2 linked regions of the Macaca fascicularis genome follow. The protein of the gene in region 1 purifies or fractionates together with the protein of each later gene. This does not show direct contact. Links are inferred from orthologs where the notes say so. Each region holds a gene or a part of one and is shown on either strand. Other genes may lie near its edges. The genes, in order: DNAJA2 and PLD2.

Region 1 (14,697 bases):
ATACAAGTGCAATGCTAAAATCAAAATAACATACACTAGGCTGGGCATGGTGGCTCATACCTGTAATCCCAGCACTTTGGGAGGTCGAGACAGGAGGACTGCTTGAGCTCAGGAGTTCAAGACCAGCCTGGGCAATATGGCAAGACCCCGTCTCTACTAAAAATACAAAAACAAAACAAAACAAAACAAAAAACCCCAAAAAACCAGATGGGCATGATGGTGCGTCAGTTGTCCCAGCTACTTGGGAGGCTGAGATAGGAGGATTGCTTGGGCCCAGGGGCAAAGGTTGCCGTGATCCCAGATCACGCCACTGTACTCCAGCTTCGGCAACAGAGCAAGACCATCTCAAAAACAAAAAAACCCCAAAACATACACTAGTGACCACATTCTTCAGAAACTTCTAAAAAAAATGTTTTGTTTTGTTTTGTTTTTTTTAAATCCTAGAACTCTTTCAAGGATAGCTCACTTGGCTACCCAATAAGTAAAAACCAAATCAACAGAGCAGCAGAGTTTCACAGTGAAAAAACAGGCTGCCTTAGACCAACTGGTCCAACGCCCAGTGCCCTTATTTTCATAAACAAAGAAACTGAGACAGTAAGACTACCTACGGTTAAAGTGCTAGTCAACGACCAAGCTAGAGGAGAATCGCTTGAACTTGGGAGGCGGAAGTTGCAGTGAGCCAAGATTGCGCCACTGCACTCCAGCCTGGGTGCAGTCAAAAAAACTCCGTCAAAAAAAAAAAAGACCAACGCTGGGTGCAGTGGCTCCCGCTGTTAATCCCAGCACTTTGGGAGGCTGAGGCAGGCGCACCACCTGAGGTCGGGAGCTCAAGACCAGCCTGACCAACATGGAGAAAGCCCGTCTCTACTAAAAATAAAAATTAGCCAGGAGTGGTAGTGCGCGCCTGCATTCTCAGCTACTCAGGAGCCTGAGGCAGGAGAATCGCTTGAACCCGGGAGGCAGAGGTTGCAGTGAGCCGAGATCACGCCACTGCACTCCAGCCTGGGCAACAACAGTGAAACTCCATCTTGGGCGGGGGGGGAAAAAAACCAAGCCAGGACTAAAACTGACTCTTATAGTGCTTCTAATGGCACCTGCCTTGTTAGTCTTTCTTACACAAGCCTGTCTTTAGGAATTTGCCATGATTCCCTTAACTTCTCCAGTGTGCAGTGTTGCTCCAGGGACTCCAAACAGATCTAACCTATTTCTCACAAACAAGAAGTACTTCTGAATAAAACAAAACACAAAAAACTAAAAAAAGGAAAATCACCTCATGTTCTTTCTCCTGTAGCAAAAGAACAATGTCTCCAGGTTCCACTCCTGGGGCCTGGTCTGCTTCCCCAGTGAATGTAATTCTCTGTCCATGTTTCATGCCTTTGTCTACGTGGACTTCAAGAATCTTCACTTCTTTAATCACCTTCTTCCCTTCACATTTTTTACAGCGGTCTTTTTCATTAATTACCTCTCCTGGAAAAAGAAGTCATTGAAACTTTCAGCAAGAGTACTATACTGTACTCTTTAATACTCTTATCCTTTAAATATACTTTCTGAATTTTTTTAAATAGCTACCTAAATTTTTATTCAAAGCAGCATTCTGAGGCCAAGCATAGTGGCTCAAGCCTGCAATCCCAATATTTTGCGAGGTCAAGGTGGTAGGATCACTTGAGCTCAGGATCTGAGACCAGCCTAGCAATACAGTGAGACCTTGCTTCTACTACAAATAAAAAAAGTTAGCCGGCATGGTAGTGCACACCTGTAATCCTGGCTACTCGGAAGGCTGAGGAGGGAGGACTGCTGGAGGTCGAGGCTGCAGTGAGTTATACTCATGCCACTGCACCCCAGTTTGGGTAACAGTGTGAGGCCATGTCTCAAAACAAAACAAAAAAAAGCATTATTCTGAATAACAAAAACTTAACATCTTACTACTGCAGATTGCCTGAAGGACTCAGCTTCCCACTATTTCAGAATGTAATGTATCCATACCATGTTTAGGGCAACACGGCTTTTCTCTTCTATATATTCTTCTGAAATATTTAATTATGGTATAAAAAAGCAAAACTGTGATTATACATAGTATAGTGTGAAAAAATTGCGTCACTTTCTAATGGCTAATTACTGGCACATTTGGAGGCTTAGAAAGATGTGTATAACTGATTATTTAGGGGCTGTTTCTGTAACAGTACTTTTGCAAAGTATGTTCTGCGAAACACCAGTTCTTCAAAATGGTAATGGTGGCGGGGCATGGTGGCTCACGCCTGTAATCCCAGCCCTTTGGGAGGCCAAGGTAGGAGGATCACCTGAGGTCAGGAGTTTGAGACCAGCCTGGCCAACATGGCAAAACCCCGTCTCCACTGAAAATACAAAAATCAGCCGGGTGTCATGGCGGGCGCCTGTAATCCCAGCTACTCAGGAGGCTGAGGCAGCAGAATCACTTGAGCCAGGAGGCACAGGCTGCGGTGAGCTGAGATCGCGCAACTGCACTCTAGCCTAGGCAACAGAGCAAGACTCTGTCTCACATTTAAAAAAAAAAAAAAAAAAGAAAAAAAAAAAGTAATGGTACATGAGAAAAGATTTCCGTTAACTTTGGTTTCTTGATAGTGGGAGTTAGCAATTTTAATAAAATAAAAGCAGGCCAAGAGTGGTGGCTAACACCTGTAATCCCAGCCCTTTGGGACGCTGGGGCAGGAGGATTGCTTGAATCCAGGAGTTCGAGACCAGCCTGGGCAACATGGCAAAACCCAGTCTCTACAAGAAATACAAAAATTAGCTGGGCGTGGTGGCAAGCACCTGTGGTCTCAGCTAATTGTGGGGTGAGGGGCTGAGGTGGGAGGATTGCTTGAGCGTGGGTGGTGGAAGCTGCAGTGAGCCGAGAATGCGCCACAGAACTCCAGCAACACCCTATCTCCAAAAATAATAATAATTTTAAAAAATAAAGTAAAATGCCAAGATTATCCAGGAAGCAAACATCATATGTAGCTTCTCATAATTATCTCATCACTTCCAATAGCAATGTGGAAAAGGATGCTCTTGAACTATACTGTCTAATGTGGTAGCCACTATCTACCTGTAGCTACTTAAGTTTATGTTTAAATTAATTCAAATTTAAAATCGTTCCCCAGTCACACTAGCCACATGTGAAGTATGCAGTAGTCACAGGTGATTAATGGCTACTGTACTGAACACTGCAGATACAGAACATTTCCATCACCACAGAAAAAAATTCTATTGGATAGCACTGCTCTAGAATGGCAGGGGTGGGAGGAGCTACTTGTTTTTATAATTAAAATTTTAATCAGAACACAGCCATACCCATTTGTCTGTGGCTATAAAAGCACTAAAAGTCAGAGGTGTGTAGTTGTAACAAAAACTATTTGGCCCACAAAGACTAAATTATTTACTTCTGTGAGGACAGTTTCAATCTCAAAATCAATTCTTTAAAGCTAACTAAAGGTTACAGTAAAATCTTCTACTTATCAGAGTAACTAAACAATTACTTGTTTAGTTATTTATTATTTATTTGTCCCTTTGTAGTTTAAAAGGTTCTACTTGAGAAAGGAGATAGTCCTCCCATGGTGGTCATTTCTACAGAGACAGTATATAAAAGGTTATATTTGATAAAGAAGGAAATAGCAAAGGAACAAATAATCACCTTGCCCCTCTTTTCAGAATTAAGGAGTCACCTTTCACTAACACAATACACATCTACTGTTTCTCTACGTTCACTGGGCTTAGGCATAATGGAGTAATTACTTTCACGCTTTTATTTTTGCAACAGGGTCTTGTTCTGTCGCCCCGGCTGGAGTGCACTGACATGATCACGGCTCACTGCTCCCTTGAACTCCCGGGCTCAAGCAATCCTCCCGCCTCAGCCTCCCAGGCAGCTGGGACCACAGACATGCCCTGAGCCCCTGATTACATATTTTTCTACACTTTTTTTCCTATAGTAATGAGGTCTCCCTATGTTGCCCAAGCTGGCCTCGAACTCCTGGGCTCAAGCAATCCACCTCTGTCTCCCAAAGTGCTGGAATTATGGGAATAAGCTAACGCATCCGGCCTCCTTTTTCTTTAATAAGATGTAAACAAATACCCTTTGAAATAAAAAATTGTAAACCTCTCCAATATCTGCATTCTCAATCCATTTCAACATAAAAGCAGAGAAGTACTGGCACACATACCTTCTCCATTACAATCAGAGCATACAGACTGCATCTGTTGTACCATTCCTGGAGCCAGCTGTCTGATCATGATGCGCACACCCCGACCTCGACAAGCACTACACTTCTGGACAGCTCCAGACTTTCCACCTTGGCTAAAGCAAACACAAGTTATGCATTAGGTTTTTGTCCACAGACCACTCCAATAAGCTATGACACACAGAAACTGTACTTTTACCTTAACTTCAACCCCAATAACTTGTATTTAAACACAATAACTTGTGTTTAAATTGACTTTCAGAAGTATCAGAAAACGTTCTCCCAAGATTTATTTATTTATTGATTGAGATGGAGTCTCACTCTGTCACCCAGGCTGGAGCGCAGTGGCGCAATCTTGATTCACTGCAACCTCCACCTCCCGGGTTCAAGTGATTCTTCCGCCTTAGGTGATCCACCCACCTCGGCCTCCCAAAGTGCTGGGATTATAGGTGTGAGCCACTGCACCCGGCTGTAAGTTTTAACTCATAACAATTTTTACCTGGTACAGACAATCAGTGTGACACTTAAAGAACAGACAAAATGTACCCAACAAACCAGAGGACACACTTACCCACTGCATGCACTACAGAGTACATTCTTGCTAAGTTGGAGTTTGGTTGTCTTGCCATTATACAGATCTTCTAATGATACTCTGGAAAGAAAATAATCAGCTTCAATCAAATTTTGCCACATTTGCTCAAATACAAGATATAAATAACAGCTGATACAGCAAATTCATTATCAACTTTTAAAACAGAATTCAAAAACACCTCATAATCTCACATTAAATCATTCAACTGAGGTTTATTTTATGGCTGAAATTAACAGAAATATTTTATGACTACAGACAGTATATATGCGATACTCAAAGTCAGAGCCCATAGCATCAGGTCAACAATTTGCTGTGGTGGAATTTCTGATAAAGCTGATGACTTCACAAACTCAAACATCACAACCTTCTGTTCTGAGGCATAAGCCCTCCACCCAACTCCTAAGAAAAACACTTCAGAAGAGGTACGATTATTATTCCCATTTTATGTGATAAAACTGAGGCACAGAACAGTCAAGTAACTTGCCCAAGATCACATAGGTGTCTGGCTCCAGAGTCCCTGTTTGCTCCATGGACAATTTAGAAAGGCTACAAAGTTGTATTTCAGCTTAAGTGAGTCACTTAGATGGCATATGTCTTAAAAAAAAAAATAAAAGTGGCCCTACCAATAGTATGACAGAAAGGAGGGAAAGAATCGTTTTTCATGCCAGGTGCAGTGGCTCATGCCTATAATCCCAGCACTTCGGGAGAATGAGGAAGGATTGCTTGAGCCTAGCAGTTCAAGACCAGCCTGAGCAACTTAGAGAGACCTCATCTTTACCAAAAAATAAAAAATAATTAGCCAGGAATAGTGGCATGTCTGAAGTCCCAGCTACCCAGGAAGCTGAGGCAGGGAATTGCTTAAGCCCTGGAGATTGAGGCTGCAGTGAGCTGAGATCGCACCACTGCACTCCAGCCTGGGGGACAGAGTGAGACAAGTACTTATGTGTGGAGTTTTCTACTTGTGGCATCATGATGGTGCTCAAAAAGTTTCATATTTTGGAGCATTTCAGATTTCAGATTAGGAATGGTCATCCTGTAATGATCTGCTTTAAAATCCTGGGAGTTACAGGAACAAAAAAATAGTTAAAAGTATTTTACAAAGCACCTACACTATTTTGTGATATTCAAACTTTCTCAAAATTGTTATTCTCAGAAACTATTTTTTTTTTTTTTTTTTTTGTTGAGACAGTCTCCCTGTGTCGCCCAGACTGGAGTGCAGTGGCCGGATCTCAGCTCACTGCAAGCTCCGCCTCCCGGGTTCACGCCATTCTCCTGCCTCAGCCTCCCGAGTAGCTGGGACTACAGGCGTCCGCCACCTCGCCCGGCTAGTTTTTGTATTTTTTAGTAGAGACGGGGTTTCACCGTGTTAGCCAGGATGGTCTCGATCTCCTGACCTTGTGATCCACCCGTCTCGGCCTCCCAAAGTGCTGGGATTACAGGCTTGAGCCACCGCGCCCGGCCTATTCTCAGAAACTTAAAACTGTTGTAGACAGGATAAAAATTCCACATGTAAGGACAAAACATTACCAACAACACCGTCAAATAATGACCTATCTACAGCTGAGTCTTAGACAAAAAAGCTTGTTGCATCTTCTATACTCTCTGTAACAAATCATTTTTTAAAAATCGGCTTTTTCCCCCTACATATTAAATTACAATTGATATGCACAACCAGTACCCTAAGCCAGAAAAAAAGACACATTTCAACAAAGAAGGCCAAGGAAAGAAAAATGAAGGTAATGGTTTGGCAGGGCTGGCACTCTCCACTAGTGGGGCCTAAACTGGCACAATCCCTCTGTGCAAGGCAATTTAGTTGTATTTATCAGCCTCAAAACACTCATGCCTGCCTGGGAATCTCTGCCAAGGAGAAACAAAGCTTTACATAAAGATACTCATAGCAGCACTATCTATTACAGAAAAAAAAAACCTGGCAATACCTTATATAAAAGGTAAATGATTAAATCATGGAATGCAGTATTATAAACACAGTATTTGTAATAACAGGAAAATTTGAAATGTTAAAACAACAGAAAACTGTTTTACTATATAGCATAACATTTCTTTAAACATGAAGAACTATAAAGTACAGACAGCACTCTTTTGATCCTATTTTCTTTTTAGATCATTTCTATATTAAAGAAAAATATAAACGAATTAACCTGCACTGCACAAATATTACCATTGGAATGGTATTCAAATGTTAATTTCTGAGGGCAAATTCTTTTAAAAAACAAATTTAAGGATTCAATGAGACTCAAGTTAACAGATAACATGACTTCCTCTAATTTACTCAAGTGTATAAACTAGGATATTATGAAATATTTTAAGTATCTGAACTTCAGCCACTGACATTTGCTAATAAAATAATTTATCGAAAAAAAGAATGGGAAAAAAGACCTCCCAGATTTTGCAAAGTGAAATAGCTAATTTCATATACTGGAGAGGGCTTGTGGATTCACAGTCTAAGATCAAGGTCAGGCACCATTCATGTGCTGGCAGGTTAATGTCAGGCTGGAAGCCAGCAAGCTCCATGGAAACCAACTTAAGAGAGTTCACACTGAGGATCAAGTAATGAGTGACTCTAACATGTACACAAAGTAGGCAGACAGTCACTCATTTTTAGTTTTTAAATAAAAGGTAACTTGGAAGATTCATATACTTCAAAGAAAATAGGCTGGGTGCAGTGGCTTATGCCTGTAATCCCTGATCACCTGAGCTCAGGAATTCAAGACCAGCCTGGCCAACATGGCAAAACCCTGTCTCTACTAAAAAAATACAAAAATTAGCCCCGCATGGTGGCAGGTGCCTGTAATCCCAACTACTTGGGAGGCTGAGGCAGGAGAATTGCTTGAACTTGAAAGGCGGAGGTTGCAGTGAGCCTAGATGGTGACACTGCACTCCAACCTGGGTGACAGAGTCAGACTCCATTTCAAAAAAAAAAAAGATCAGGCATGGTGGCTCACGCCTCTAATCCCAGCACTTTGGGAGGCCGAGGCAGGCAGATTACCTGAGGTTGGGAGTTCGAGACCAGCATGACCAACATGGAGAAACCCCACCTCTACTAAAAATACAAAATTAGCTGGGCATGGTGCCACATCTGTAATTCCAGCTACTCGGGAGGCTGAAGACAGGAGAATCGCTTGAACCCAGGAGGCGGAGGTTGCAGTGAGCTGAGATTGTGCCATTGCACTCCAGCATGGGCAACAAAAGCGAAACTCAGTCTCAAAAAAAGAAAGAAAAGAAAAAAGAAAACGATCTTTACACTTGAAATTTTAAGTCCTATAATAACAAGCAGCCTCAGAACCATATAAAACCACCTTCCTCTCATTAAAAAATATCTACCATCCTTTTAAGAGCTACAGCAAAATAGAAACAGTCAGATAATCAAATTCTATTTAGTCACCAAAAGAAGACAAGGCACATGGAAGTTTTTCTAATGAAGGACAGAACATTCTATGAGTTTTTTTTCTTCTACTGAGTCAATATTCCACTTGACAAAAAGTACCTAATTTTTTAACACAACAAAACAAGATATTCACTTGAGTGGATGCATCATGTCCTCTCCTCTTCTTCTGCCATTTCGACTTCGACTCTGATTGCCCATGAAGCCGAACAATCCCCCACCAAAAATGTGAGAGAAAATATCATCCATGCCACCACCTCCGCCGCTGCCTTCCCGAAGACCTTGCTCTCCGTATCTGTCATATAACTCACGCTTCTCAGGATTTGATAGTACTTCATATGCAAAACTTATTTCTTTAAACTATAAAGAAAAGGTAAAAATAAAAATAATTACATTTTCAAATAGAAGAGTGGGGAGAGGCTATAGGAATCCAGAATCCATTTAATTCTAATAAAAGGGACAAGTTACCTTTGACTTGATTCTGCTTCTATTTACCACCCACCACTCCTCAGAATGGTAGTACTCTTATTCTAAAACTAAAATACTCTTTGACATTATGAAAATGTGGCTGTGTGGGCATAGTTGGATTTTTTTCCTGCAACATTCCTTTTTTTCAAGGAGGGCAATTTAAGTTAAAACTAAAACCCCCGGAATAAAAAAATCGCAAATAACTTACTTTGTCTCCTGCATTTGGATTCTTATCAGGATGATATTCCTTGGCTAACTTTCTGTATGCCTTTGAAAATGGACAAAAACAAAGAAGGTTATAACTAAACACCAGTTTAAAGTTTTGTAATAACTTAACATCCACTTTTCTGAAAAGTAATGTTCTAGAGTTATAACCTTCCAAAAATATTTTCTATTCGTATTCTTTGGCACTTCCTCACGATACTGTTTACTAATGTAATATAACCAAGTAGACTGTAGCTATACTTGAAAATAATTACAGTGACGTGAAAACCAGATAAAACAATGAAGCAATACCATAGGGAAAACGTTCAAACATTATCCATATTTTCCCTATCGTCAAGTGTCTGATGGCCAAGTAACCAGACCAAGACCACTCTAATAAATTTGAGATAAATGACTGTCAAGCTTTACGGACTGCAAAACATTACTATAAATCAAGCTAAAGTCACAATTCCTGCTCCCGATGGCTCAGGCCTTCCTTCTAACTGTAACATCATGAAAAAGTCAAGGTGGTCCCAGGTAGTGTCTTTAGGTGTTTTATTTGCACGTGGTGGTTAACTGGGGTCGTGGTGGCAACTTCGGTGGTAGTGAAGTTGCACACTCTCAACGAGGTGTTTGGGTCATACAGCACTTAAATCTTCATTTACGGAGGCTCGTGAATTATATAATACAGACTAGCATTTCCGGTAAGGTAACAGGAAGTCCACTGCACTCTTCTCACTGCCTAAGGAGCATTCTCATTTTTCTCGGCTTACAAATCCGGATGCTCTTAGCCCGGTGAGGATGCTGTGGGGCTTAAACGCCTCGTGTGCTTTGAAATCCTGAGATGAAAGATATCGCAGCATTGCAAACAGCGATAATAAGGCCTTCTATTCATGTTTATTGCACACTCAGGCGTTTGGCTGGGACCACGGCTTATTCCTAAGCAGGTACAGGACATTAGCATTACCTGACCACAGAACAATGCATCCAAACACAGACCCACGCTACCTCCGGGTCAATGGGCGAGGGAGGAAGAGAGGGAGGAGCTCCCGCAGCCCGCAGCCGGGGATCCCAGGAAACAACCCCATCTGCCCGAGGCGCTCTGTGGGGGCGGCCTCGACCTCCCCGCCGGACCTCCCCGCCGTTTTTCCCCGCGGAGCACCAGACCCGGGGCCGACGGCCGCGGGGTGGACAGCTTCTCTCCCGGGGCCGGGATGCGCTGAGCACCTCGGTCCAACCTGTTTTTCCGGGGTGGTGACCTCGACGCGGAGAGCCGGGCGAGCTGCTGCCTCCTGGGGGAGACCGGCCACCGGCGCTCGCCCGAGGAGGGAGGAAGGGCTACCGTCGTGTTTGCGCAGGAGTGAGTTTTATTTGCTGCATCTGCGGGCGGGCGGGGCCGGCGGCCCAAGGTCAGCCGAGGCCGGAGGGCGCGGCTCGCCGCGAGGCCGGTCCCGCCGCTGCCGCCGCCGATCCCCAGCCCGGGCCCGTCACGGCCGGCGCCGGCTCGCGGGCCGCCCAGTAGCGCGGCCTGGCTGAAGAAGACATCCCCGGCCGCGCAGGCCCCGCGCCCCTCACACCCGCCCGCCCGGCCCGCTCCCGGATACCTTCTTCAGCTCGTTCTCGCTGGCGCCGGGCGGGACGCCCAGGATGTCGTACAGCTTCGTGTCAGCCACGTTAGCCATGGCGGCCGGCCGGGCAGTGCTCAGGAAGAAGGTGGCGGAGCAGACAGAGGAGCCGGGCCCACAAGCGGCGTCGGCAGCGGATCAGGCCGAGGGAGACAGCGAGGGGGAAGCGGGGGCGGGGCTGAACTTTGACCGGGCGCACGGTGCGCCGTGACGTCGCAGTGCGGAGCCCGCCCCCGAGCGCCCGAGGCGCGGCCACTGGGTCGGGGTGGTGAAGAGTGTGGCTGGTTCTCTGATCTCCTCTGGGTCCAGGCTGCTGTGCTGGGCCGACGTAGGAAATGAACTCTACACGGCGCACCCCAGGAATTCAGCTTCCTCTCAAAGGCCATGGTTGCGACGTCGCGTGTTTAACCTCGCACTGGGTACTGAGGGGATTAACAGGCCTACGCGGCAGCTTCGTTAGCTTCGAGTCGGTCGGGAAAGGAAGTGGGCCCCGGCTCCTGCAGGAGGCCAGCCTGGCGCGCAGAAATCGTTCTCAGAATCCAGGACGTCGGTGGACCCTCTGGGTCTGGCTCCCTCGGGGCTTACGATGAAAAAAACTGGGGAGCGTGTGTGTGTGTATGTTGTGTTTTATGTTATGGGAATAATGAAACATTCAACAAAAGCAGTCTATTACACCCCGTAGTGCAGTTAGCTACATTTTACCAATTTTGTTTCATTCGCTCCCCTATACATCTCTGGTGTTTTCAGGGAAACCGTTTCATTCATAAATACCCTGAGTGTATATATTTAAGACAACTTTTAAAAGCATGACGACGTAATCTCATCTAATGAAATTAACAATTCCTTAATCTAATTCCCAGTCTATATTTAGGTTTTTCAAATGATCGCATGGCCTTTTACAATTGGTTTGTGGCATTCCAGTCCAAACCAAGGTCCACGTGTTGCTTCTGGACCACGTGTTTAAGCCTCTTGATAGCTTTAAAATTAGCTAATACCAGAGGTTTAGATGGTGTAAGGCAACTCTGGCCACCAGGTGACTTGATTTACATTCGTTTTAGTTTCGCTCAGAAAGTGAATGCTGTGCATCTACCACGTGCTATGATGTACAGAGGCCTGGTCCGGAGAGAGGAGTGTTACAAAAGTGCCTGCCTTCAACCCATTTACGGTTTACGGAGACAGAAAAGTAAGATTTTATGATCCCTTGGAACCTGAACTGATAGCAAAGACTTCAGTATAAGCATCTTACTCAGGATAATGTTTCTTCCTTGGCGTTCCCCTTGACCTAGTTGTGGAGGGCCTGAATGCCATGACAAGGTCTCTGAAATTTAGCCCGAAAACCCTAAGAGTAATCAGTGATAAGTCATTGATAGTCCTTAAACCCTTTTCCTCAAATCCCATCTGAAATCCTGCTCCCTCTGTGAAGTCTTCCTTGACTGGACACTGGTGAACACTGCTGTCTCATTCGAGTTCCCACCACCCTTCGTTTGTACCTTTTGTGGTACAAAAAATGTGCAACAATGTGGTAGGATCCCGAACTCTTTTTTTTTTTTTTGAGACAGTGTCGTTCTGTCCCTCAGGCTGGAGTGCAGTGGCGCGATCTCAGCTCACTGCAACCTCCACCTCTCGGGTTCAAGTGATTCTCCCACCTTAGCGTCTCGAGTAGCTGGGATTACAAGCGCCCATCACCATGCCTGGCTAATTTTTGTATTTTTGGTAGAGGTGGAGTTTCACCATGTTGACCAGGCTGGTCTCGAACTCCTGATCTCAAATGAACCAGCCATCTTGGCCTCCCAAAGTGCTGGAATTGCAGGCCTGAGCCACTGCCTCTGCCAACCACGATTGCCGTGTAAATGCTGACATCCTCCTCATGCATGGCTGTGAAATCCAATTCTCTACTTTTCACATTTTGAGATGTTCATAAGAAAAGGTGTAAAGTTGTGGCGAAGTTAGATTGTGTCGGTTGGTAGTCTGACTCTGTCATTTAGGAACAATGTGACCTTCAACAAGTTAACTTTTCTGAGGTGGTTTCCTCAGGTGTAAGATGGGGCTTATTATTTTTTATATCATTGGTTTAAAAGAGTTAATACATTTCTGTTACTTAGGGCTGGGCGCTGTGGTCTGTAATCCCAGAACTTTGGGAGGCTGAGGTGGATGGATCACTTGAGGTCAGGAGTTTGAGACCAGCCTGGCCAACGTGGCAAGACCACCTCTCTACTAAAAATACAAAAATTAGCTGGGGGTGGTTGCACACCCCTGTAGTCCCAGCTACTCGGGAGGCTGAGGTGGGAGAATCCCCTGAGCCCAGGAGGTGGAGGTTGCAGTGAGCCAAGATCATACTACTGCACTCCAACCTGGGTGACAGAGTGCAACCCTGTCTCAAAATAATAAATAACTAAAATTTTAAAAATTACTTAGAAGCTAAAACAAATTAAGTATTAACTATTGTTTTTGGCCTATTTGCTTACATTGTCTTTACTCATTTAAATTTCTGGCTTTTCTACTGGGATTCCCTGACTTCCTCCATTACCTATGGGAAACGCCCGTCTGTCCCTTTTCATGACCTCGTCTTCCCAGATCTCCTTGCTTGTCAGTCTCATTTCTCTGTTAGTTCCTGCTCCACGTGAGAATATGAACTGAAAATCTGTCTTTATTGCAACCTTCATATTAATTTATCTTTTTTATTTCATATTGTTTTATCTTATTAGCCTTCTGCCCGTGAACAGTTTAAAAGGGCTGGAGTTTCCTATTTGTTTCAGTTTTACTCAGTTTTTTTTTTTTTTTTCCAAGGGGAAAAAATTCTCTCTTGATGCCATTTTAGCTTCTGATATTGTAATGAAGAGTAGCTGGGTAAATTCCCTCTTTTGTTCTTGTTATTATTATTATTATTATTTTTTTACCTGACTAGACCAGTAACCACAGTAACTATTTTTGAATTTCATTTTCATTTCTTTGCAATATTTTCTCCACTTCTGCGTATTAATTGTAGTCAGCATAATTTGCTAATTTTATGGCTTGAGTTATTTCAGAAGAACTTTGTGTGTTTAAACTGACACAGGCTCTTCTCCCAAGAATCAGAGACTGAAGTAAACCTGTGTCACTGTAATGTTTCAGCCACTAACTGTTTTGAGATAGCATATTTATTTTGGCTTCATATTTAGCCAATGCTATGAAGGGAAAAGGACCTTTATATCATTTCAGGTCTCAGGCACTGTAAAATGCTGAGTCACAGTACACCTGAGCGCTGCAATGATCTCAAGTTTGAGGCGGCAGTGATTTCAGATTTCTGCCAGGTTTATATTGGTGTTCAATTCCTTTACTTTGATTTAGTATGCTTGTGTAACTGTGAGGGGTTGGGGTGGAGAGGAGGTGGATATGGACTGGGGCAGGGGGAGGAGGTGGATATGGAATGGGGCAGGGAGTATAGGAACTGTAGTATTTTTGAAGACCATTCATACTGTTCACAAGTAATTGGGAACTGTGTAATCCATTACTTAGACAACTCTAGATATATCATTCAGGCAGTTCAGAAAGTGGTTTTGCTTTCTGCCTTTAACTAGGTTTGACTGTATAGAGTAAGTGATGCAGGTTAAAATATTTTGGCGGAATACAGAAGAAGGTACTGATGGTTCTTGTTATGAGGGTGTCAGGACCACGTCATTTGATGATTGTTAGTGCTCTGGAAAGAAAAAATTGTGGGCTGGGCGTGGTGGCCCAAGCCTGTAATCCCAGCACTTTGGGAGGCCTAGACGGGCGTATCACAAGGTCAGGAGCCGAGACCATCCTGGCTAACATGGTGAAACCCCGTCTCTACTAAAAAATACAAAAAAAAAAAACCCCAAAAACCAAAAAAAAACTAGCCGGGCGAGGTGGCAGGTGCCTGTAGTCCCAGCTACTCGGGAGGCTGAGGCAGGAGAATGGCGTAAACCCGGGAGTCGGAGTTTGCAGTGAGCCGAGATCCGGCCACTGCACTGTAGCCTGGGCGACAGAGCGAGACTCCATCTCAAAAAAAAGAAAAAAAAAAAAAAAAAAGAAAAAAAAATTGTGGGACTTGGATCACTGAATAATCTCTGAATTTCTTTTCAGTGCTTAAAGTAGATCATTCAGTGATGGGGCAGCACAGTTGTATGTGGTATTTCTAGCCCTGCTGCTGGCCTTTCAAACTCAGTCGTGTCAAACCCTGCCTCATTAATTAGCATTTTCCAAAGGTTCAGT
Region 2 (15,466 bases), on another chromosome or scaffold:
TACAGGTACCCGCCACCATGCCTGGCTGATTTTTGTATTTTTAGTAGAGACGGTTTTTGCCATGTTGGCCAGGCTGGTCTTGAACTCCTGACCCCAGTGATCTACCCGCCTCGGCCTCCCAAAGTGCTGGGATTACAGGCATGAGCCACAGCGACTGGCCAGCAGTTATCAAAATATTAAATGCACATAGCCTTTAATATCATTAAATATGCACAGTAATTTTACATCTAGGAATACAACCTACACAATGCTTAGGCAAAGATCATGTTCATCGCATTGTGTGTAAGAATGAAAAATGGGAAATAATCTAAGTATCTAATCTCTCACACATGTATTAAGTGAAAAAATAAGTCACAGAAGAGGGTGCATGATCTCATTTATGTTGAAACAAAAGTAACACATGCCTGCACATGTGAAAATATGTAGGAAGGCCAGGCGAGGTGGCTCATGCCTGTAATCCCAGCACTTTGGGAGGCCAAAGCGGGTGGATCACTTAAGGTCAGGAGTTCATGACCAGCCTGGCCAACATGGTGAAATCCCATCTGTACTAAAAATACGAAAATTAACTGAGCATGGTGGTGCATGCCCGTAATCCCAGCTATTCAGGAGGCTGGAGGCAGGAGAATCGCTTGAACCCGGGGGGCAGAGACTGCAGTAAGCCGGTATCATGCCACTGCACTCCAGCCTGGGCGACAGAGCCAGACTCCATCTCAAAAAAAAAAAAAAAAAAAGGCCGGGCGCGGTGGCTCAAGCCTGTAATCCCAGCACTTTGGGAGGCCGAGACGGGCGGATCACGAGGTCAGGAGATCGAGACCATCCTGGCTAACACGGTGAAACCCTGTCTCTACTAAAAAATACAAAAAACTAGCCAGGCGCTGTGACGGGCACCTGTAGTCCCAGCTACTCGGGAGGCTGAGGCAGGAGAACGGCGTGAACCCGGGAGGCGGAGCTTGCAGTGAGCTGAGATCCGGCCACTGCACTCCAGCCTGGGCGACAGAGCGAGACTCCGTCTCAAAAAAAAAAAAAAAAAACCCAACCAAACAAACAAAAACAACCTCCGTCCATGACTGCCCTGTGCCTGTGATATTAGCACACGGGAGCCTGTGAGATCAGCTGCCACTGACTCCCAGCCTCTCCTCTGACTGCTCCTCCTCACTCAGTAACAACAATATGTCCTGGTGGTTCCCAAACGCCCTGAGCTATTTCTGTCTTCTCTGCCTGGACTGTTCTGCATTTTCTTTATCTCGTATAGTTGCATGAGGATCAGCAAGTGTACGCTGTTCCCATGCAATCACCAGTCCTATCAAAATATAGGACATTTTCATCGTCCTGGAATGTTCCCTCGTGTGCCCCGTTTGATTGCCCAGACAATCTTTGCCCCGTACCCTGCCACAGGCAACTGCTGATCTGATTTCCATCGCTGTGGATCGGTTTTGGCTGTTTTAGAAGTTTATAGCCGGGCGCGGCGGCTCACGCCTGTAATCCCAGCACTTTGGGAGGCCAAGGCAGGTGGATCACAAGGTCAGGAGCTCGAGACCAGCCTGGCTAACACGGTGAAACCCCGTCTCTACTAAAAAATACAAAAAACTAGCCGGGTGAGTTGGCGGGCGCCTGTAGTCCCAGCTACTTGGGAGGCTGAGGCAGAAGAATGGCGTGAACCCGGGAGGCGGAGCTTGCAGTGAGCTGAGATCTGGCCACTGCACTCCAGCCCGGGCGACAGAGCGACACTCCGTCTCAAAAAAAAAAAAAGAAGTTTATAGCCGGGCGCGGTGAGCTGAGATCAATAGAGCAAAACTCTCAAAAAAAAAAAAAAAAAAAAAAAAAAGGAAAATGTTTGTTAAATGAAGGACTAAATCAGATTTGAGAAGATCATAGAGAACAGAGAGGGTCAGTATGGTACAGGGGGGTTTAAAAAGTTACAGGAGGTTACAGACGTCAAGGGTCAGAAGAGATGACCAAGTCTGAGGGTCAGAAAGGTCAGAGCGAAATCAGAGAGATCAATGTGGTTAAAGATATCAAAGATCAAGAAGATTAAGGGCCGGGCGCGGTGGCTCAAGCCTGTAATCCCAGCACTTTGGGAGGCCGAGACGGGCGGATCACGAGTTCAGGAGATCGAGACCATCCTGGCTAACACGGTGAAACCCCGTCTCTACTAAAATACAAAAAAAACTAGCCGGGCGAGGTGGCGGGCGCCTGTACTCCCAGCTACTCGGGAGGCTGAGGCAGGAGAATGGCGTGAACCCGGGAGGCGGGGCTTGCAGTGAGCTGAGATCCGGCCATTGCACTCCAGACTGGGCAACAGAGCGAGACTCCGTCTCAAAAAAAAAAAAAAAAAAAAAAAAGAAGATTAAGGAAGTCACAGGGTGGATCGCTGAGGTCAGAAGGGTTCAGAGGAGATAAAAGAGAGGGTGAAGGACTCAGAGACAGGGGGTCAAGAAGGCCACAGAAGGGATGTCAGTGTCTCACCACCGGGCCAAGGTCCCAGGCCGGGATGGGGCGTAGCTGTCATGCTGGTGCAGGTGTAGGAAGTCTCTGCCTGGGCCCCGTGCCAGCTCAGTGATCTCTTGGGCCCACCACCGTGCCTGCCGGTAGCTGCTGCACTTGAGAATCAAGGACCTGGATGGGAACGATGAGATGGACCATAAATCCTCGCCCTCCATACATATGATCTTGCCCAGAGACCTCCCCTTTCTTTCTCACTTCCTCCCTTGGTCCCTAATCACAACTCCACAGAGACAGGGCGTGTATGTATCTGCCTTATTTGTTTATTTATTTTTGAGACAGAGTTTAGCTCTTGTCCCCCAGGTTGGAATGCAGTGGTGCGATCTCTGCTTACTGCAACCTCTGCACCCTGGCTTCAAGCGATTCTCCTGCCTCAGGCTCCCCAATAGCTGGGATTACAGGCCAGCACCACCACGCCTGGCTAATTTTTGCATTTTTAGTAGAGACAGGGTTTTACCATGTTGGTCAGGCTGATCTCGAACTCCTGACCTCAGGTGATCCGCCCGCCTCGGCCTCCCGAAGTGCTGGGATTACAGGCATGAGAAACCATGCCTGGCCGTATCCACCTTACTCACAGTTGGAGCCTAGTATTGTATCAGCAACCAGTATTGTACCAGGCACTCAGGTTTGTTGAATGAACAAATGAACAAATGGAATTTCCTTTATGTCAGCAGTTCCTTTCCTGGGCTTCTACTAATCCCCTTTCTCTGGGCCCAGTCTCTAAGAGCAGTCCCAAGCATCTGGCTAGACCAGTTCCCTGGTTCAAAACTATGTCCGGATCCCGGGAGGTGGAACAGCCTTCCTCTCTACTGTGGTCTCTCTTACTCAACCCCCAGCAGGGCTGCAGGCTGGCTCACCACTCAGCCGGTGTCTCTCACCCCAGGGAGGCCTCACCTGTGGGAGGTGTCGATCCGCACTCCGTACCGTGCCTCCGTGCTCCTTTTCCCCACCTGCACCTCAAAGCCGGGGTCAAAGAGCTGAACAAATGAGATGGCACCCGTCTCGAGGCACATGTACAGCAGGAAGGAGTCCTTCACCACCAGCCACCTAGAGCAGAAGGGCTCCCTGTGTTCCTCTCTGCCCTCGAAATTTTATTCCTCACCCCCACCCACTGCCCAGCTGCTGGGCCATAGCCCTTACCTCTTGGACCAGCGATAACAAACTTGGTCTCGGCCACAGCAGGTGAGGCCAGGAACGCGGTGGCCACCTGAGCGCTTCCGGATCGTCCCCTCCCTGTGGGGCAATCAGGAAGAGAGGCTGGATGAGGACTCCAGACCCCCAGCCCACCCTGCACTGCTTGCCCCATTCTCAGGCAGGGAGAAATTAAGAGGGATGTCTACAGATGCCTGGGTGAAGGGGGCCAGACACTCACAGCCCTTTGCAGCCCAGGTCTGGGATAAAGGACAGCTGACTGACTTCCAGGAATTCTGTCTGCAGAGGAAAACAAAAGGCCAGAGGAGATACCTGGCTTTCAGCTCCTCAGACCCTGGGGCCCCTGGCCCTCCTCCCCCTGAGGGTCTGATGATCCTGCTCCACATCTAAAATCAGCTCCTGGACCTTACCAAGGCATGGTAGTTGCGATAGAAAGACATGGTCAAGAGGCGGTTGAGGTAATTCTCCAGGTATTTCTAAAGTGGAGATGAGAGAGAAAAAGACAGATGGGACCAGAGTCATTTGCACATCCAATGCCTTCCCAGAGGACCTGGCATCTGGTCCCACCTGTTTGCTGGCTGCATGTCTGGTAGAGCCCTCAGGACCTGCCCGGGGTAGAGAGGGCATCTCTCTGTTGGCTGCATCTTGGGCTGGAGAATAGGCAACGGCAAAACTGTGGAAAGGATGGATGAGGTTCAGGTAAGAGCTGGGAGGCTGGGTGCTCTGGTTCCTGAAAACACTGGAGATGGGGCTTGGAGGAAAAGAAGAGGCCTGGAGGTGGCCAGGTGTGGTGGCTCATGCCTGGAATCCCGGCACTTGGGGAGGCTGCAGCAGGTGGATCACTTGAGCTCAGGAATTTAAGACCAGCCTGGGCAACACAACAGCACCCCATCTCTACAAAATATACAAAAATTAGTTGGGTGTGGTGGCTGTGGTCCCAGCTACTCGGGAGGCTGAAGTAGGAGGGTTGCTTGAGCCCAGGAGGTTGACATGAGCCAAGATCATACCAGTGCACTCTAGCCTGGGTGACAGAGGGAGACCTTGTCCAAAACAAAAACAAAAACCAAGCAAAAGTCCTAGAGTCTGGCAAAAGGAAGGCCCCCTACCCTGGGAATGGAGACTAGAAAAGGGTGAGGCTGCCAAGAGTATTTTGGGCATCCCGCCCAGCTGAGATGCTGGCACAGAACCATGGACAGGGAAAGCTGAGCAGGGAAAGTTTCCTGGTAACTGGGGTCAGGGGAGGGGCCCAGTGGCCAGAGTTGCAGGGAGGAAAGATTGTGGCCTGGGGGTGAGACAGGCAGAAAGGAGGGTGGGGGGCACCTGCCCTCTACAGGACTCAGTCTGATTCCCCTCACCGAGCCAGAGGGAGCAGACTCATCAAGACTTTGTGTCTCAGGAGGTCCCGATGCAGCTCCTGAAAATGACGGAACTTCTTCTTGGTTGTCCAGGTAAAGTCGCCGTGAGTCAAGCGGACAGAATACAGAGTGCAGGTTCCTACCTAGGGGTGTGAGGAACTGAATGGATGACCCCCGTGTTGAGTCCCCGCCTCCCCACTCTGGCCAGCTCTCCCTTTCCCTCTTCCCTGGGGCCAGCCCAGCCACCTTGGATCCATTCCAGGCCGCCCTCCCTTTCCCCCTCCCTGGGGCCAGTCTGGCCACCTTGGATCCGCTGGTGTATCTTTCGGTGCCCACCACCTGGGCTGTGACAGGGACCCCAGGTGCGAACACCAAGGGGTGCACTTTCAGAGGCTGAAGCTCATAGATGGCCAGAAACGGGTGCATCCGGTCGGCTGGGAAGAAAGAAAGTCGAGGAGTGTAGACCCCCACAGGCCCCAGCCCCCTGGCTCCCCACGCCTCTCCTCCCCGAGGGCCATCCATATTCCCTGTGTACCTGGGTCCTCTCCCTCCCTCAGAGTGTCCACCTCATCGGACTCCATCTGGAGCTGGCTGGAGTCCAGTTCGTCCCCAGTGGGGAAGAGGCTCTCAGGGGTCGCCATCATCCTAGGAATATAGGGAATCCTCAGGGAGGCGAGTTGCCCTGCAGCACCCGCCCCCCATCCTAACTCCTGCAGGTCCTCCATCTCTTCCAGGTCCTCCTCTTCCCCCACAGACTCCTGACCGCCCGCTGATGACGACCGACCAGTTTGCAACGCCCCACCGACCCCTTCGAGCCCCCATCCGCTATCTTAGTCCTTCATCCACAATCCCAGTCCCAGTCCCGCTCCCCGACCCCCGCCCCGTCCCGTAACCAGAGACCCGGGGAACACCCAGCCAGGCCCGGAAGGCTCCGACCTGGGGCGGCACAGCAGCTGCGCGGGGAAGCGGCCCCGGGTGGTCGGGAGAGCGCGGGGCTACGGGGCTTACGCCAGGCCAGGAGGGCCGGGGGCAGGGGTCCAGGCAGGAATGAGGAAGTTACGCGATCCCCGCCGAGGGGAGAAACCCCGAAATCTGAGCGTGCGACTGAGTCTGGAGGCTCCGCAGCCCGAGCCCTTTCCGTCCCCGCCCGATTCCCGGGACCGGGGACCCCCGCGCGCCCCTTCCCGGCCGCCTCACCCTGGCAGACGGAGCCAGCGCCCGCGCGGGTTCCCGAGCCAAGCGAGCAGAGCGGAGCCGGAGCCGCAGCCGGAGCCCACGCCCCAGCAGGCCGGGGCGGGGCTGGGGCTCAGGGCCTGCCCTCGGGGGCGGGACGGCCCCCGGCCTCACCTCCGCGGGATTCTCGTCTGTCCTGTCCCGCCCCCGCCGCCCTCGGCCCGCCCCGCCGCCCCGCCGCCCCGCCGCCCCGCGCACCACCGGGAGCCCGGGGGCTGCACTGTGCTCTGCAGGGCCGCGGGGCCGCGCAGCTCTCTCGGTGAGACCGGCAAGTGCTGCAAAGCGTCGGGGCTTTCCGCGCCGTCGGTCCCAGCGTGCCCGCCCGCCGGGGCACCCCGCGCTGCGCGCATCCTTCCGCTTGGCTCCCGCCCCGGGCCCCTCCAGCCGCGGGCGCTGCCTCGGCCCCCGGGGACACGCGCCTCCGCTGCGGGAGCTGCCGGTGGGTGCCCCTCTCCCAGACTCGCTGCGAGCCACGTTCGACCTAGCCCAGATAGCGTTTGTACCTGGAAGGAATGAGGGCGTAAAAGGCCCGAGGGGTGGTGGCTACAAACCCATTAGTGTAAGAAAGCGGGCATTCTTTCATTCATTCACCAAACATGTATTGCGCGCTTACTCCTTGCCAGACACTGAGCGTATGGTAGTAAATAAGATGGTTACGGAGCCTGCTCAGCTGGAATTGACAGTCTAGGGGGGAAATAAAATTTTTTTCGGGTATTAAAATACAAGAGATTTCAATCTTTTTTAAAAAGCAGATTTATTTTTCTCTTCTTTTGATAGACATGTGTGTTTCCAGTTTTGCCCGTTGTTTTAGCTCGTGTAAACATCCCTGTCTTTGTGTGGATAGTTTTCCTTTATCTTGGGTAACTAGCGAGTGGAGTTGTTGGATCATGTAAGTGTATGTTTAACTTATAAGAAACTATCACACGATTTTTTTTGAAATGGTTGTTACAGTCTAGATTTCCAAAATCAGTGTATGGTGGTTCCAGTTATTCTATGGCATAGCCAACATTTGATATTCTAAATCTTTAGCGTTGGCCATTGAATGGATGTCATAGGCACACCATTGCAATTTGATTTGCATTTATCTGGAGATCAATGATATTGACCATGTTTCATGTGCTGATTGGCCATTTGTATGCATTCTTTTTTTTTTTTTTTTTTTTTTTTTTGAGATGGAGTCTCGCTCTGTAGCCCAGGCTGGAGTGCAGTGGCCGGATCTCAGCTCACTGCAAGCTCCGCCTCCCGGGTTCACGCCATTCTCCGGCCTCAGCCTCCAGAGTAGCTGGGACTACAGGCGCCCGCCACCTCGCCCGGCTAATTTTTTGTATTTTTTAGTAGAGACGGGGTTTCACCGTGTTAGCCAGGATGGTCTCGATCTCCTGACCTCGTGATCCGCCCATCTCGGCCTCCCAAAGTGCTGGGATTACAGGCTTGAGCCACCGCGCCCGGCTGTATGCATTCTTTTATAAAGTGCCTATTCAGTCTTTTGCTAATATTTATTTATTTATTTTTTTTGAGACGGAGTCTCACTCTTGTTGTCCATGCTGTAGAGCAGTGGCACGATCTCGGCTCACTGCAACCTCCCCCTTCTGGGTTCAAGGGCTTTCCTGCTAATTTTTGTATTTTTAGTAGAGACAGGTTTCACCATGTTGGCCAGGCTGGTCTCAAACTCCAGACCTCAAGTGATCTGCCCTCCTTGGCCTCCCAAAGTGCTGTGATTACAGGCGGGAGCCACCATCCCCGGCCTTTTGCTAATTTTTTCTTTTCTTTTTTTTTTTTTTTTGAGAGGGAGTTTTGCTCTTGTTGCCCAGGCTGGAGTGCAATGGCGGGATCTCGGCTCACTGCAACCTGCGCCTCCCAGGTTCCAGCAATTCTCCTGCCTCAGCCTCTTGAGTAGCTGGGATTACAGCCACCGGCCACCACGCCTAGCTAAATTTTTGTATTTTTAGTAGAGATGGGGTTTCACAATGTTGGCCAGGCTGGTCTGGAACTCCTGACCTCAGATGATCCACCCTCCTTGGCCTCCCAAAGTGCTGGGATTACAGGCGTGAGCCACCACGCCTGGTCATAAACTTCTAAATTTAAGGCAAAAACAATCTATAGTGATGGAAATCAGATCAGTAGTTGCCTGTGGCAGGGTGTAAGGAAAAGATTGCCTGTAAAGGGACACGTGAGGGAACATTCCAGGATGATGAGAATGCCCTATATTTTGATAGGAGTGGTGATTGCATGGGAGCATACACTTGTTAATACTCATGGAACTGTACGTTAAGATGTGTGCATTAAATTGTATGTACATTTTTGCTTCAATAAAGTTCATTGAAAGAAAAACAAGGCCGGGCGTGGTGGCTCACGCCTGTAATCCCGATACTTTGGGAGGCCGAGGTGGGTGGATCACGAGGTCAGGAGATCGAGACCATCTTGGCCAACGTGGTGAAACCCCATCTCTACTAAAATTACAAAAAATTAGCTGAGCATGGTGACGCGTGCTACTTGGGAGGCTGAGGCAGGAGAATTGTTTGAACCAGGGAGTCGGAGGTTGCAGTGAGCTGGGATAGTGCCACTATACTCCGGCCGGGTGACGGAGTGAGACTCCGTCTCAAAAAAAAAAAAAAAAAAAAAAGACTGTGTAACTCGGGCAGTATGTGTCATCAGCAACCTCACGTTTCCCACATTGTGGTACCTTCACGGAATGATGAAACAGCCCCTGTACAGCTTTACTTACGGGCACTTAGAGTCCTTGGCTAGGATGCTCTTGACTAGAGGGTCTCTGACTAGAGGACCAGAGCCTCGGCTCTGGCCACCCCAAACTGGCTGAGGGCATCGATGCTTGGGGACATGCTTCAGAAGCTCAGTGTACTGGTTAAAAGAGTAGATTCTGGCTGGGTGTGGTGGCTGACGCCTGTAATCCCAGCACTTTGGGAGGCTGAGGTGGGCGGATCACTTGAGGTCAGGAGTCCGAAACTAGTCTAGACAACATGGTGAAAGCCCATCTCTACTAAAAATACAAAATATGACTGGGGATGGTGGCGGGTGCCTGTAATCCCAGCTAATTGGGAGGCTGAGGCAGGAGAATCACTCGAGCCCTGGAGGCAGAGGTTGCAGTGAGACAAGACTGCACCACTGTAATCCAGCCTGGACAACAGAGCAAGACTCCATCTCGAAAAAAAAAAGAGTAGATTTTGGGGTCAGACTGACTCAAGGTGAGGGTTGTGAGGTGGGCATGGTTCCTACTCTGTACTGCCTGCCTGTGTGACCTTGGGCAAATTACCTTGCCTCTCAGTGCCTCCTTTTCCTCATCTGTAAAACCAGGATAGACTTACCAGCAAGGGACTTACCTCAAAAGATCTTTGAGGCTGGGTGTGGTGGCTCACGCCTGTAATCCCAGCACTTTGGGAGGAAGAGGCAGGCGGATTGCCTGAGGTCAGGAGTTTGAGACCAGCCTGGCTAACGTGGTGAAACCCCGTCTCTACTAAAAATACAAAAAAATTAGCCAGGCATGGGGGTGCACACCTGTAGTCCCAGCTATTCCGGAGGCTGAGGTAGGAGAATTGCTTCAACCCGGGAGGCGGAGTTACAGTGAGCCAAGATCGCGCCACTGAACTCCAGCCTGGGCGACAGAGTGAGACTCTATCTCAAAAAAAAAAAGATCTTTGACATGATTAAGTGAAATGAGATAACATGTAAAAGTTCCTAGCATTTACCTGACACAGCATCATTAATCAATTATAACCATCTTCATAACAGGGGACAGGAACCATCAGACCATTTAATGAGAATCTAACATTTCCCTGGATAATAAAGTTTCTTAGTCTAAAAAAATAGAGTATTCTTTAAAGTCTACATCTTGGGCACTCCAAGTCTCATTCTAAAATACAAACGAATCCCCAGCCGTGTCCAGCCTGGTGCCAAGTTGTCGGGCATTGCTATAGTGAAATTTTACTGTATCTGTCACGGCACCTCTGCATCTGTCCCTGCCGTGCTACCTCTCCCAACCACCTCCTGCTTCTCCATGGGGATCAGAAAGGACCCCCAAATTAATGGGGCATAAAAATAGGTGTCTGAATGGGAGTATACCCCAGCCCTTTCTTCCCCCCTCCTCTCCCCATTCCATCCCTGGCGCCTATAATCACCAGGCGGTCTGAAGCTAAGTGGTAGTTTTGCCCATGGTGGGGGGGCTCGGAAACCACACCCCTCTCCCGGGAGCCCTCCTGGCCATTCCCCACTCCAGTTGCCTCCACTGTTGAGATGGGTCTGAAGGGGGCATGGTGTTTCCCATGGTGCGGGTGCCGGAGACAGCGGGGGACTGAAAGAGGAGCAGGTATGGGGTAGACTGAGGGTAAAGTGGGGCTGTCAGGCAGTCAGACAGACAACTGCATCGCAGGGAGAGAGAGAAATGCTCAAACCACCAAAAGGAAAAGGCACATTTGTCTCCCTGGGTGGGAGGTGGGTCACCAAAGTCCTCACAGGACTGGCTAAATACTTTGTGGGGCCCAGTTCGAAATGCCTAAGAGGGGCCCCTCATTAACAATTTAAGAATTTCGGCTGGGCGCAGTGGCTCACTCCTGTAATCCCAGCACTTTGGGAGCCCGAGGTTGGCGGATCACGAGGTCAGGAGATGGAGACCATCCTGGCTAACACGGTGAAACCCCATCTCTACTAAAAATACAAAAAATTAGCCGGGCGTGGTGGCGGGCGCCTGTAGTCCAGCTACTCAGGAGGCTGAGGCAGGAGAATTGCTTGAACCCGGGAGGCGGAGGTTGCAGTGAGCCGAGATAGTGCCATTGCACTTCAGCCTGGCAACAGAGTGAGACTCTGTCTCAAAAAAAAAAAAAATTAAGAATTTCAAGATGGTGATAGCAGAACCCTATGCCAAGCACGGTGGCCCTTTTGAGTCTGGGGATCCTATGCAATTGCACAGGTCACATGCGTGTGAGCCAGCTCTGCTTGCTCTGCAACAGTCCCTCTCCCTCTCCCTGCTGCTGTCACCCACGCTCCTCACTGGTCCCCAGGCCCCAGGTGTCTTCCCTGCTTCCCTCCTCAACCCTGGGTTGGGGGCGAGGGAGGAGGTGAACCCTGACCTACAACTTCCTTCTTTCCTCTCCCATCTTTTAGGCCTGAGTCCTGCTGCCCCTCCAGATCCCAGTCCAGCTATAGCCCCCATCATGGCTGAGGGAGGGGTACCCTCGCCAGGGCCTGGTGCCTACTTCAGCAGGAAAGCCCGACTCTCCTTCCGCCACCAGCTGCATGACATAGCATCGGCCAATGACTCCACCATTTGAAGGGGACAAGGAGCTGAACCTCCAGGAAGGCTTAGCAAGCTTCCTTCCCCAGACTTCTCAGCGATCCTAATGTCCACCTCCCCAAGTCCTTTCTAACCTTCTCATTAAATATGTTCGTAGTTGCTAAGTGCTGTGTGTGTGTGTGCAGGGGAAGTAGATGGGGCCAAGGCTGCAGGGCTGGGTTATGGGGCTGAGATGGGAAGTGTTGCCTATGGTGGAGTGAGACACAGGAATGATGAATATGAGGCAGCTCATCTCATGCAGAGCCCAGGTGTGACAAGTGGGAAAGTAAGAATTGGCTGACATCAAGCTTCAGAGTTGAGTGTGCTGAAGACAGTCTGGGGTGGCTGGGGGCTGGGCAGGATGGCAGATGGGATGAGAAAGCATATTCATTCAGTAAAATGCCGAGTATCTACCCCTGCCAGGCATGGAGGAGATATCAATGAACCAGAAAGAAAGAATTCTGTCTTCTCACTGAGCTGACTTTCTAGTAGAGGTAGGGAGACAATCATACACAGGTAAACAACTAAGTGAACCCAAGACAGTGATATGTGCTGCTGTGAAGAAAGTGAAACAGGGTCATGTGAGAGTGGGACTAGGGGGTGGTGTTTCTCCAGTTTCAGGTGGTCGGGAAATGCCTTCCTGATGAGGTGACATTTGAGCTGAGAGCTGAATGATGAGTAGCCACGTGGAAATCGGGGAGCGATGTGTCAGCGTAGGTTTACTAGTTCCAACAAATGGCCATCTCTGGTGCAGAATGTTGACAGTGAGGGAGGCTGCCCACGTGGGGAGAGGAGCACATGGGAAATATCTGTATTTTCTACTCAATTTTGCTGTGAACCTAAAACTGCTCTAAAAAATGAATTTTAGGCCGGGTGCGGTGGCTCACGCCCATAATCCCAACACTTTGAGAGGCCTAGGCAGGAGTACGAGACCAGCCTGGCCAACATGGTGGAAACCCGTCTCTATTAAAAATACAAAAAAATTAGCCAGACGTGGTGGTGGACGCCTGTAATCCCAGCTACTCAGGAGGCTGAGGCAGGAGAATCGCTTGAACCCAGGAGGTAGAGGTTGCAGTGAGTCGAGATTGTACCACTGCACTCCAGCCTGGGGGACAGAGCCAGACTCCATCTTAAAAAAAAAAAAATTGCGAGGCCGAGGCAGGTGGATCACCTGAGGTCGGGAGTTTGAGACCAGCCTGACCAACGTGGAGAAACTCCGTCTCTACTAAAAATACAAAATTAGCTGGGCATGGTGGTGCATGCCTGTAATACCAGCTACTTAGGAGGCTGAGACAGGAGAATCGCTTGAACCTGGGATGTGCAGGTTGCGGTGAGCTGAGATCACGCCATTGCATTCCAGTCTGGGCAGTAAGAATGAAACCCCGTCTCAAAAAAAAAAAAAAAAAAAAAAACAAAGGCCAGCTGTGGTGGCTCATGCCTGTAATCCCAGCACTTTGGGAGGCCGAGGCAGGCAGATCACAAGGTCAGAAGTTCCAGACCAGCCTGGCCAATATGGTGAAACCCTGTCTCTATGAAAAATACAAAAACTAGCTGGGTACAGTGGCACGCGCCTGTAATCCCACCTACTTGGGAGGCTGAGACAGAAGAATCGCTGGAAACCGGGTGGTGGAGGTTGCAGTGAACTGAGACCAGGCCACTGCACTCCAGCCTGGGCAACAGAGCAAAACTCCGTCTCAAAAAAAAAAAAAAAAAAAAGGGTAGGCACAGTGGCTCATGCCTGTAATCCCAGCACATTGGTAGGCTGAGGCAGGAGAATCACTTAAGCCCAGGAGTTTGAGGTTACAGTGAGCTATGACAGTGACACTGCTGCCTGGGTGACAGAGTGAGACTCTGTCTCTAAAAAATACATAATAAAATTAGGCCTGAGGTGAGGTGGCACATACCTGTAGTCCCAGCTATCAAGCTCCTTTATGTCCCTGGCTTGAATGGGGACAGCTTCGGAGGGGCCAGAGTCCATTTTCAGCCTCTCATTCAAGGGGCTGATCACACCCTCCACCATGGGAATGGTGGCTTCCAGAGCTGGCCAAAAGCACTCCTGGTGGCTGTGTTCTCCCACTCAACTGTCATCTTAAATTCCATTTGCAAACAAGGCCCACCTTTCTCCCAAAAGCCAAGGAAGTCACAGTGCGCCTGTTGATCACAAGATGAGGTGATAGAGGTTAAGTGTGGAGAGAGGGGACCATGAGGCTGGACTGGAGGAAGCTGCTCTTTGTGGACTTAGGAGCAGTAGTCACCCATGGTGACTGGCAGGAAGCAGGCTGAGGAAGGTGACTCCAGTTTTAGTCAGAATTCCGAGTTCTACCTTGGGGTTGAACAGGGAGCGGGTGTTGCTGGTACCCCCAACACCAACCACAATCCAGTGGTTCAAGGACCTGGATATGGTGGGGGAAAGAAAGTTTGGGGGAAGGTGGTTTGGAGAAGAGGTTTGAAAACCACCCATGTAAAAGCTTATTGGGGAATCAAGCATTCATAACCTCCTTTCATTTCCTCTCCAACTTGCTCTGAGTTCAGTGCAATGGTTTATACAAATAGGAATGGGCCAGACAAATTCAACCTTGAAGTCAAAAAAAAGAACCCCAAAGTATAAAGATTCTCTGTGACAAACTTTATTAAATTTTGCATCAGTACGGGGTATCTCTTATTGCATACTAGAATCCCAGGATTCAGGGGGGCGGTAAAGTGGCAATGGCGAATTTGGGTATCTGGTCTCCCAAAAGTACTTGCCGCTCTACCCCTGACTCTGCAATGGCTGCCAGGCGGATCACTCCTCCACTGGAGCCATCCCGCTCCATGGCCAAAGCGAGAGCTGTGGATAAAAGGAGAAAGCTGGGTTCAGAGTCAGATGCTGGGATCACTGCAAGGAATGAGGAATGTTGGCCTGGCTTAGGTAGTTGGGGTTGAAGCTCACAGGCCCAGGAGCCTAAGCTCTCACCATTGGCAGTGAATTGCAGACACTCCTCCTTGGTCATGCCTTCCCGGTAGGTAGCATCCACATAGCCATAGATGTAGGAGCTCCCAGAGCCTCCAATGGCAAAGGACTGCCTTACCATCATACCCCCCATAGGCACTGAGTACACCTGCCAGATAGAAGGAGAGGAGTTACCAGTCGTATCCTCCCTCCAACACATGTACATTCACCTGTCCATTTTGCTATTGGTCTGAGGAACGTTAATAGTAAGAATAAGTGAGGTAGAGACTGGAAAGAAAAAGAAAATGGTTGGGGAGAGGATAAAAGGCCTGGCTCAAGTGTGCTCTGGTCGGGGGTGGGGATCTGACCTGCCCTCCTTCTTGAGGGTCCCAGCCTGCGATGATGATTCCCGCCATCAGGTCTTCTCGGTATCGGTAACACATCTCCTTAAAGAGGCTGGCTGCTGTGTGGACCAGTGGAGGCTCATTCAGTTCAATGCTAGAGGGTCAGAGAAGTCACAGAGAAAGTTTCAGGACCTAGAAGTCAGGCCATTTAGCTCCTCAGCTTCCAACTCCCTTCAGATATTTGCCCCTCCCCTGCCCACAAGCACCTGTGGAAACCGAGCTGGTAAGTGACAGCATCAGCTACTGCCTGGGTATCAGCAGCTGAGCCTGAGCGACAGCAGAAAATGTGGTCGTGAATAGGAGTCAGCTTGTCAGTCACTCGATTGGCGATGTAGGACCTGCAGGATGGCAGAATAGTGAGGAAAGGAGCCCACCTGTCCTCCACCTCCATCCCATCACTACCCACTCTCTTAGGGCTCAGGGACAGGATGTCCAGTATTGCCTTTTTTTTTTCTTTGAGATGGAGTCTCACTCTGTTGCCCAGGCTAGAGTGCAGTGACGCGATCTCTGCTCACTGCAGCCTCCGCCTCCTGGGTCCAAGCAATTCTCTAGCCTTAGCCTCCCAAGTAGCTGGGACTGCAGGCACGCGCTGCCACGCCCGGCTAAT

Evidence for each region.
Region 2: the proteins of DNAJA2 (region 1) and PLD2 purify together in Homo sapiens (affinity purification with mass spectrometry; 3 studies listed by BioGRID and IntAct, with this or other methods). This does not show direct contact. The link is inferred for Macaca fascicularis from reciprocal best matches to the Homo sapiens genes DNAJA2 and PLD2.

Annotation. Positions count from the first base shown.
Region 1 is NC_088394.1:42,890,732-42,905,428, forward strand, and holds the start of DNAJA2 (dnaJ homolog subfamily A member 2), read right to left. Parts: upstream 10,643-14,697; 5' UTR 10,543-10,642; coding exon 10,465-10,542; intron 8,925-10,464; coding exon 8,865-8,924; intron 8,549-8,864; coding exon 8,325-8,548; intron 4,846-8,324; coding exon 4,765-4,845; intron 4,310-4,764; coding exon 4,176-4,309; intron 1,468-4,175; coding exon 1,271-1,467; intron 1-1,270. UniProt on the Homo sapiens protein: Co-chaperone of Hsc70. Stimulates ATP hydrolysis and the folding of unfolded proteins mediated by HSPA1A/B (in vitro).
Region 2 is NC_088390.1:4,900,542-4,916,007, reverse strand, and holds the start of PLD2 (phospholipase D2), read right to left. Parts: upstream 6,650-15,466; 5' UTR 6,593-6,649; coding exon 6,441-6,592; intron 6,292-6,440; exon of another isoform or gene 5,946-6,291; intron 5,655-5,945; coding exon 5,545-5,654; intron 5,444-5,544; coding exon 5,313-5,443; intron 5,153-5,312; coding exon 5,010-5,152; exon of another isoform or gene 4,890-5,009; intron 4,328-4,889; coding exon 4,222-4,327; intron 4,131-4,221; coding exon 4,065-4,130; intron 3,934-4,064; coding exon 3,875-3,933; intron 3,736-3,874; coding exon 3,643-3,735; intron 3,550-3,642; coding exon 3,397-3,549; intron 2,617-3,396; coding exon 2,467-2,616; intron 1-2,466. Other genes in the region: C16H17orf114 (uncharacterized protein C17orf114 homolog), read left to right, coding at 5,060-5,102, 11,358-11,524; PSMB6 (proteasome subunit beta type-6), read right to left, coding at 14,211-14,353, 14,480-14,624, 14,824-14,953, 15,066-15,197.